Linked DNA regions of Macaca mulatta. The protein of the gene in region 1 interacts with the protein of each later gene in a biochemical or structural test. Links are inferred from orthologs where the notes say so. Each region holds a gene or a part of one and is shown in the gene's direction. Other genes may lie near its edges.

Evidence for each region. The genes of interacting proteins can lie anywhere in the genome.
Region 2: the proteins of PEX19 (region 1) and ABCD2 form a complex in vitro, tested with the Homo sapiens proteins (3 studies listed by BioGRID and IntAct, with this or other methods). The link is inferred for Macaca mulatta from reciprocal best matches to the Homo sapiens genes PEX19 and ABCD2.

Annotation. Positions count from the first base shown.
Region 1 is NC_133406.1:106,602,220-106,606,475, forward strand, and holds the start of PEX19 (peroxisomal biogenesis factor 19), read left to right. Parts: upstream 1-1,454; 5' UTR 1,455-1,471; coding exon 1,472-1,541; intron 1,542-1,740; exon of another isoform or gene 1,741-2,231; intron 2,232-2,955; coding exon 2,956-3,065; intron 3,066-3,485; coding exon 3,486-3,651; intron 3,652-4,256. UniProt on the Homo sapiens protein: Necessary for early peroxisomal biogenesis. Acts both as a cytosolic chaperone and as an import receptor for peroxisomal membrane proteins (PMPs).
Region 2 is NC_133416.1:46,484,168-46,488,194, reverse strand, and holds the start of ABCD2 (ATP-binding cassette sub-family D member 2), read left to right. Parts: upstream 1-1,223; 5' UTR 1,224-1,411; coding exon 1,412-2,350; intron 2,351-3,865; coding exon 3,866-4,027.

The DNA of each region.
Region 1 (4,256 bases):
TTCATTTAAAATTCTTACCTTGTGTCATACTTACTGTGTGTATATCTCATCATACCTGCGGCTCACCTCCACTTAGCTACCTTACAGCAGGGGGTGGTCCTGATTTATCTCTTTGTCCTTGCTGTGCCCAGAACAAGACCTAAATAATAGGTGCTCTCCAAGTGCTAAAACAGATCTGTATGTGAAACAGTTGCTACATTCTTACAGATCTGAATAGAACAATTCCAAAGGAGGAAAGGGACGTCTAGAGTTACCTCTATCTGAGCATCCCCGGTGTTCACTCAGTTGGAGGTTGGGTTCTGTGTGGAGAAAAGGAGATTGGTCAGGGAAAGCAAGTCTATTACTAACTACTACATTCTAATTGCCCTGCTCAGTCCAAGGTCCCAGATGCTCTCTTTCTAACATTGAGTTCTAAGTTCCTGGCCCTGTGTCCTTTAATCAAACAGTTCTAATAGAGAATAGGAAATGAGAGATGCCACTAGATTGGGCAGACAGATGTGCCTGATTAGGGACTGCAAGAGCAAAGAGTGGCCAATGAGTGCCTACTAAGTTTTAAACCCTAGCCTAGGAGTTGGGCTTTACAGCAGCGAAGACAACAGACGAAAATCTTCGCCTTCATAGTGTTTAAATTCTGCACGGTGGGAAGCGGAGAATAAACAAGCACGGTAGATAATATGTCAGATAGTGTTCAGTGTTAAGAAGAAAAGGAATGGCCAAGTAAAGTGTTTCAGAGAAGATAACATTTGAATGAAATAATGAAGTGAAGCCGGGCGCAGTGGCTCACGCCTGTAATCCCAGCACTTTGGGAGGCTGAGGTGGGTGGATCACCTGAGGTCAGTAGTTCGAGACCAGCCTGGCTACCCAGACTGGCCAACAAGGTAAAACCCCGTCTCTACTAAAAATACAAAAATTAGCCGGATGTGGTGGTGCATGCCTGTAATCCCAGCTACACGGGAGGCTGAGGCAGGAGAATCGCTTGAACCCAGGAGGCCAAGGCTGCAGTGAGCCAAGATAGCGCCACTGCATTCCAGCCTAGGCGACAGAGCGAGACTCCGTCTCAACAAAAGAAGTGAGAGAAAGTAGTATGTTATGTACCATAATTGTCATATCAATCATATATGTATAGATTCTGGTTATTTGTAGGCAGTTTGTCTCAATCTAGCCTACTCATAGCTCAGGAAGAAATAATGAAAGAGCTTCGCCAGGTAATTTGGGAAGTTGAAAGGAGTCCGGGCCTCTAAAACCAGGCAGAAAATAACACTATCTTATCCTTAATTCTGTGTTTCACAGGCGAAAGGGGAAAAATACCCAAAACAGAAACTCAAAGCTTCCTGGCCCTTTAAAAATGGCGGTTCCGCACTGGCCAACAATACCATTGGTTGCCCGAGGCAGAAGAGGGCAGGAACGAAGGGGTGGAGGGCGTGGCGGCGCCGAGGGGTCCCGCCTCCTACGGCAAGTCGGAGGTAGCAAGATGGCGGCCGCTGAGGAAGACTGTGGTGTCGGGGCAGAAGCAGACAGGGAATTGGAGGAGCTTCTGGAAAGTAAGAGCCCATAGTGGGAAAGGCCCGAAGAGGGCAGTTGTGAGGACCCATTCCGGGCGTTAAGTGAACCTGAGATATTAGGGACAGGGCGGGAGAGGATCTCCAAAGGTTAAATGGGGGCGGAGAGTCTGACCGCGAGCCCCCCAAAAATCTCTGGGTCATCCTGCCCCACCTCCGCGACTGGAGCTGGGGAACTCACCTGGGGTCCCCCAGTGGTCCAGATTGTGGATGTTTCCGCAGGACGGCGTTTCATGATACCTCTCCAAACTCCTCTTTCTTTAGGTTACTAAGTTCTTAAAGTCCGACTTCAGCAGCAGCAGCAGCAGCATTTGGTTCTTGTTGGGTAGCGAACCACGCACTCACTGATTGCTTACATTAACTCCTAGCAAGCTCGTGGCCCATGCTGCTGCGCCTCGTCCTGCCTTCCTTGACATGAAAGACACTTTTTTCCTCGTAGTCCTTTTCTCTTTCTCTCGTTAGGCCCCTTAACAGTTCTTTCATCTTGTTAGTAGCTCAAGCGGACTCCTTTCCCTTATTTTGAGAAACTGAGGATGTGGCGATTTCAGGGGAAAGCAGTTCACCCTCCTGAAAGACGGTGGATGTTTTCTTAGCATTACTGTCCACTCCCCTGTTGGCTTCCTGCCCAGAGTGGGGCCAGTGCTCTCTCCCTGGGCCTGGCAAGCAGAATGGTGGTGAGGACACAGGCTTTTCAGGGCAGAGGTGAATTTGTAATCTCTTGCTCAATCACAGAGATGTGGGCAGGCAGAAGAATGAACAGAAACGCTGAGGAGTGCCAAGTGACTGTAAATTAGCCTACGGTTATCTGCAAAGATCAGACCAAAAGGAGCTCTAGGAGGTTGTGGGAGAGCACTAAACTGGAGAATAAGAGAAGATAGTTTAATGCCTTACCATGGAATGTAGTATGTGGTCCCTCAGTCTGTGCTGGTACCAGTACCAACAGGAAGCTGGGTGGGATGTCATGTGCCTTCTCACCAAGTTATTCCTTTTAGAGCTCCAGAGTGAGTTCAGAGGGATGAGGACATCTGTGTTCTCTACTCCTGTTGGGTATTTATTTGTATGGGATTTCTAGGGAATCATTAGGTTGTGGCAAGGGAGACACTATAGATGGAGATGTCTCTGCAGAAATTTTTAATCCTCTCCTCCCAGCTCTGAGATGGATACTTGTTCCACCGTCAGGGATTTCTTGCCTTTGCTCACAATAAATTAGGTAATCTGGAAGGAAGTAGGAGGCTCATTGAGGGTGGTCTGGGGAGGTGGGGGCCTCAAGGCGGAAAATTGAGGAAAGTTGGCAATTTGAAAAATCATATTCCTAATGCTTTGCCCAGAAACCACCCAGCCTTGCTTGCATCCTCATCTGTCGCCAACACACACACCATGTCTCTTGTCTCTGAAGGTGCTCTTGATGATTTCGATAAAGCCAAACCCTCCCCAGCACCCCCTTCTACCACCACGGCCCCTGATGCTTCGGGGCCCCAGAAGAGATCGCCAGGAGACACTGCCAAAGTATAAATTCCACCCCCTGAAGGGATAGGGAGGGGATGGGCATGCAGCTCTGAGCAGAGGTTGGGCAGGCCCCTATGGGCCAGAGGGGAATGGGGGAGGGTACCTTGGCCTCACATTGGTGAGTGCTCTTGCCAGCCTCAGTCCTTGTGAAATAAGGACTTGAGGTTGAGTGGAGGAATCTCAGAGTTCCTTGAAAAAATAGTAGGTTTAAATGGTTGGATTGGTATGCCATCCCATACCCTCTTTCAAAGACTAGATACCTTTTTTGCTATTCTCATTAGGAGCAGTAGTTAGAGTGTCCAGTGGAAGTGGGTAGGAGGGAAGTGCATTTCCCATAGCTACTGCCTGTGGCTTCTATCAGAGGCCAGGTGCAGTGTAGTTCTAAGTAAGAGATGCATTTCAGCCACCCTTCCCCCGCAGGATGCCCTCTTCGCTTCCCAAGAGAAGTTTTTCCAGGAACTATTCGACAGTGAACTGGCTTCTCAAGCCACTGCAGAGTTCGAGAAGGCAATGAAGGAGTTGGCTGAGGAAGAGCCCCACCTGGTGGAGCAGTTCCAAAAGCTCTCGGAGGCTGCGGGGAGAGTGGGTGAGGAGACCTTAGATACATGGAAATATCTGAACAGATTCTTAAGTCTTTGTTGCCTGAAAACACCAGAATTCTTAGTGAAGTTGATAGTAATCATGATGTCACAGCCATGGAATGGGTAAAGGCAATGAGAGAAGGGGTGGAAATCCCTCTTTTTTTTTTGAGACGGAGTCTCGCTGTGTCTCCCAGGCTGGAGTGCAGTGGCGTGATCTCGGCTCACTGCAAGCTCCGCCTCCCGGGTTCACGCCATTCTCCCGCCTCAGCCTCCCAAGTAGCTGAGACTACAGGCGCCCGCCACCACGCCCGGCTAGTTTTTTGTATTTTTAGTAGAGACGGGGTTTCACCATGTTAGCCAGGATAGTCTCGATCTCTTGACCTCGTGATCCACCCGCCTCGGCCTCCCAAAGTGCTGGGATTACAGGCTTGAGCCACCGCGCCCGGCCGAAAATCCCTCTTAATGAAAAGGGGCGAGATAGGTTAGAAAGTAATAGAAAAGATTATTCAAAACTGACCATTTGAAAGGTCACAGTGTTATTGTGGGTATCATCATGGAGAATAAACTGACATAGAGTCCGTGTATTAAATAGATGTATGAAAAGACTATC
Region 2 (4,027 bases), on another chromosome or scaffold:
ATGGATGTGAAGAAATTTAAGACTCTTAGTTTTTATCAAATAACCAAATAGAAATAGGAAGTAGCCAGTAGATTATCTCTACAGCTAAACAAAACAAACAAAAAAGACACTTGCAAAAGACAAGGAATTCCTGAAAAATGAAGTAAGGTCCTAGAGAAGTTATTTCCATCATCCAACACCAGCTGAATTCCCAAATGGTTAAACTTTGACTATAAGTGCTACCACCCTCGAAGTAAAAACTACCTAACACATGGGAGTAGTAAAAATGAAACATTGATCTCATTTACTTAATAGTCGCCTCCTTGTAAATAATTATAAGTACATCAGATCTCCAGTTATGGGGCTGGAAGATTTTTATCATAAGGACAAGTAGGATGGAGGGGAAAAAGGGAGAATGTCTAGAGGCATAGCAAATAATTATTTTCCATAACACGGAAGACTTTTATCCTATTTATTTACAAGGGATACCCTCAATTACAACTTGTCTATTAGGTTCTGAGACCTTATGTGAAATCAGACCCCCAAAAAAGCCGGGGGTGGGGGGACGGAAAAACAGATCCAAGTGTTTGTATTTGATATTTGGCATTCTCCAGTGTCCCTCCCACTTATCACTTTCTTTTCTGATCCCTTTCAGATTCTTTCCATGCTTTTTCCATATTCATTTTATGTTGATCCTCTTGTCCCTCCTCCCTCATTTCCGTGGTTCCTTCTCCCTCCTCGTCTCGTTAAAACTCTTGGAAATCTCCCTTTCTGCTTGCTCTTGTTTGCGGTAGCTACTGAAATCTTACCGAAGCGATGTATATTCTGAAACTTCTGCGGGTTTCTAAGTGACACTGAACATGCTCAGTAGCTAGAGACGGTTTTGTTCGCTTGGAAATCTCCCTTTCTGCTTGCTCTTCTGTTTGCCGTAGCTACTGAAATCTTACCGAAGTGATGTATATTCTGAAACTTCTGCGGGTTTCTAAGTGACACTGAGCATGCTCAGTAGCTAGAGCGGTTTTTGTTCGCCAGCAGATGGCCTGATTCGACCTCTCCAAAAATAGACATTTAACTCTCTGAACTCCTGTTTAAGGAAGGATGTAATTCGTTTTGCTCTCTCCTCATTTTCAAGGTTCAAAGGGAAGCTGCTAAGATTCCAAGGTCCCACCGCCCTCACAGCCAATGAGGGGCCTGGGAGGGAGGAGCTTGGTGCAGCTGGAGCTTCTGAGAGAATTATTCCCGGTAGATGCAGCGGAGTCTGAGCTCTGCTGCATCTGTCACAGCAGAACAAAATTAAAAACAAAACAGTGGAAGAGAAACGCTGCAGACTATGGGACGCTGTAGGACTTTCTGAAACATTTGCTGGGGATTTCTGTGAAGCATGATCTTTTAAAACGAATTCTTTTGGAAGCCGGTTTGGGTAACTGGGAAAATGACACATATGCTAAATGCAGCAGCTGATCGAGTGAAATGGACCAGATCGAGTGCTGCTAAGAGGGCTGCCTGCCTGGTGGCTGCGGCATATGCTCTGAAAACCCTCTATCCCATCATTGGCAAGCGTTTAAAGCAATCTGGCCACGGGAAGAAAAAAGAAGCAGCTTACCCTGCTGCAGAGAACACAGAAATACTGCATTGCACCGAGACCGTTTGTAAAATACCTTCGCCTGGAGTGAATGCAGATTTCTTCAAACAGCTACTAGAACTTCGGAAAATTTTGTTTCCAAAACTTGTGACCACTGAAACAGGGTGGCTCTGCCTGCACTCAGTGGCTCTAATCTCAAGAACCTTTCTGTCTATCTATGTGGCTGGTCTGGATGGAAAAATCGTGAAAAGCATTGTGGAAAAGAAGCCTCGGACTTTCATCATCAAATTAATCAAGTGGCTTATGATTGCCATCCCTGCTACCTTCGTCAACAGTGCAATAAGGTACCTGGAATGCAAATTGGCTTTGGCCTTCAGAACTCGCCTAGTAGACCATGCCTATGAAACCTATTTTACAAATCAGACTTATTATAAAGTGATCAATATGGATGGGAGGCTGGCAAACCCTGACCAATCTCTTACAGAGGATATTATGATGTTCTCCCAATCTGTGGCTCACTTGTATTCTAATCTGACCAAACCTATTTTAGATGTAATCCTGACCTCCTATACACTCATTCAAACTGCTACATCCAGAGGAGCAAGCCCAACTGGGCCCACCCTATTAGCAGGACTTGTGGTATATGCCACTGCTAAAGTGTTGAAAGCCTGTTCTCCCAAATTTGGCAAACTGGTGGCAGAGGAAGCTCATAGAAAAGGCTATTTGCGGTATGTGCATTCCAGAATTATAGCCAATGTAGAAGAAATTGCCTTTTACAGAGGACATAAGGTAAGATAGAAATTAAGGTGATGGGTGAAATGTGAGACTGTTCAAGCTGCCACTGCAGTGCCAGATACCATCTGTTGTCCTGTCGATGGACCCACTTCTTTAGTGTCTTAGATTCCTCTGACATCTAAACCTGTATTAAAATACATGCTTCATTACCCCTTTTAACCGTAACCAGTTAAAGAATTATAGGGTGCAAACTTTTCTAAAGTGTCATGAGAATAAAATTTGCAACACTCTGAAAAAGCCTACTTAGCCTCAGTTACTCAAATATGGTCAGAATTATTTCTAACGTGTTTTCTTAAAACTTAAATCCCAACTTGGTAGGTGGCCCTAGAGCACCTACCAGAAGAAAATATATATTTGGAAACTAAGACTAAACATGTTTCCATTGAAATGGAAAATTTAGAATGATATTCTTTGTTGTTCCTTTGTTGTCGAAGGAGGGGGGGAACCAGGATTTCTTACAGAAGACATTTTTAACAATTTTGCATGTCTGATCAATATGGAGCATCCCCATTCCCAAGAAGCATAGGAAAGTGTCTCACAAAATGGCATTTCTACTACTCTTAGTTCATGTTCAGCACTATATTTTGACAAAATGAAAAGAGGAAGTGAAATGAAATTTTGTCCAGCTTTGAAAAAAAAAAAAGCTGAGATTAGAGAAGAAATGAGGAGTACAAAAGGAGTTTCAGAATGTTTTCAATTATTGAAGATTTTCAACATTAAGCAGATCCCTAAAACAATTAGCCCAATTATACATACTCATAGTATATGAAGGTAACTTCAGAATATGAAATAAGACAGAAATTTTAAAGGCAATGCAATCTTAATTTAAATGACTTGGTGAATAAAATAAAGTATTCTACTGTTGAAGACGGCATGTCAATCACCAAGCAGAATTATTTAATTTTTAAAGCATCAGTAATTATCAGTGTCTTTTTTAATAGCAGTAGCAACCTGAAAAAGAATATTTAAAGTAAATTTAGGACTCTTGCTCCCACTTGAAAATTACCTCATATATTGTATTATATCATATTGATTTGTGATTCTTCTTAAACTATTGAATTCAATGATATAAATTATAGTGTGTTTAGACTTCTTGCATAAAAGACAAAATCCAACAAAGTGAGTCAGTTCAAAAGTAGAGTCTATACATATATATGTCATGTGTCCATTTTCAGGTATTTTTGGTGTAATCAACAAGGACAAAGCTCTAACAATTGTTTATTCATATCTTACCTAATATCATTTAGTTTTAACATCTCATGCATAAAATTTAAATATCATAACTATAAATTACTTATATGTATTTTATACCCAACATTATGTCCACTGAGTAGCATAAACTTTTAAAAATAATACACATGTGACCAAAACTAAATAATAACTAATACTGGTATTAATCTGTATTTATTGGTTGTTAAGACACATAGATAATGCCATACTAAAAAAAAAAAAAAAAAGAATATGTATATGTCTTTAAGGAAAGTCCTCAACTCTTTTTCCTCTCTATAGGTAGAAATGAAACAACTTCAGAAAAGTTACAAAGCTTTAGTGGATCAGATGAACCTCATTTTATCCAAACGTTTGTGGTACATCATGATAGAACAATTCCTGATGAAGTATGTTTGGAGCAGTAGTGGACTAATTATGGTGGCTATACCTATTATCACTGCG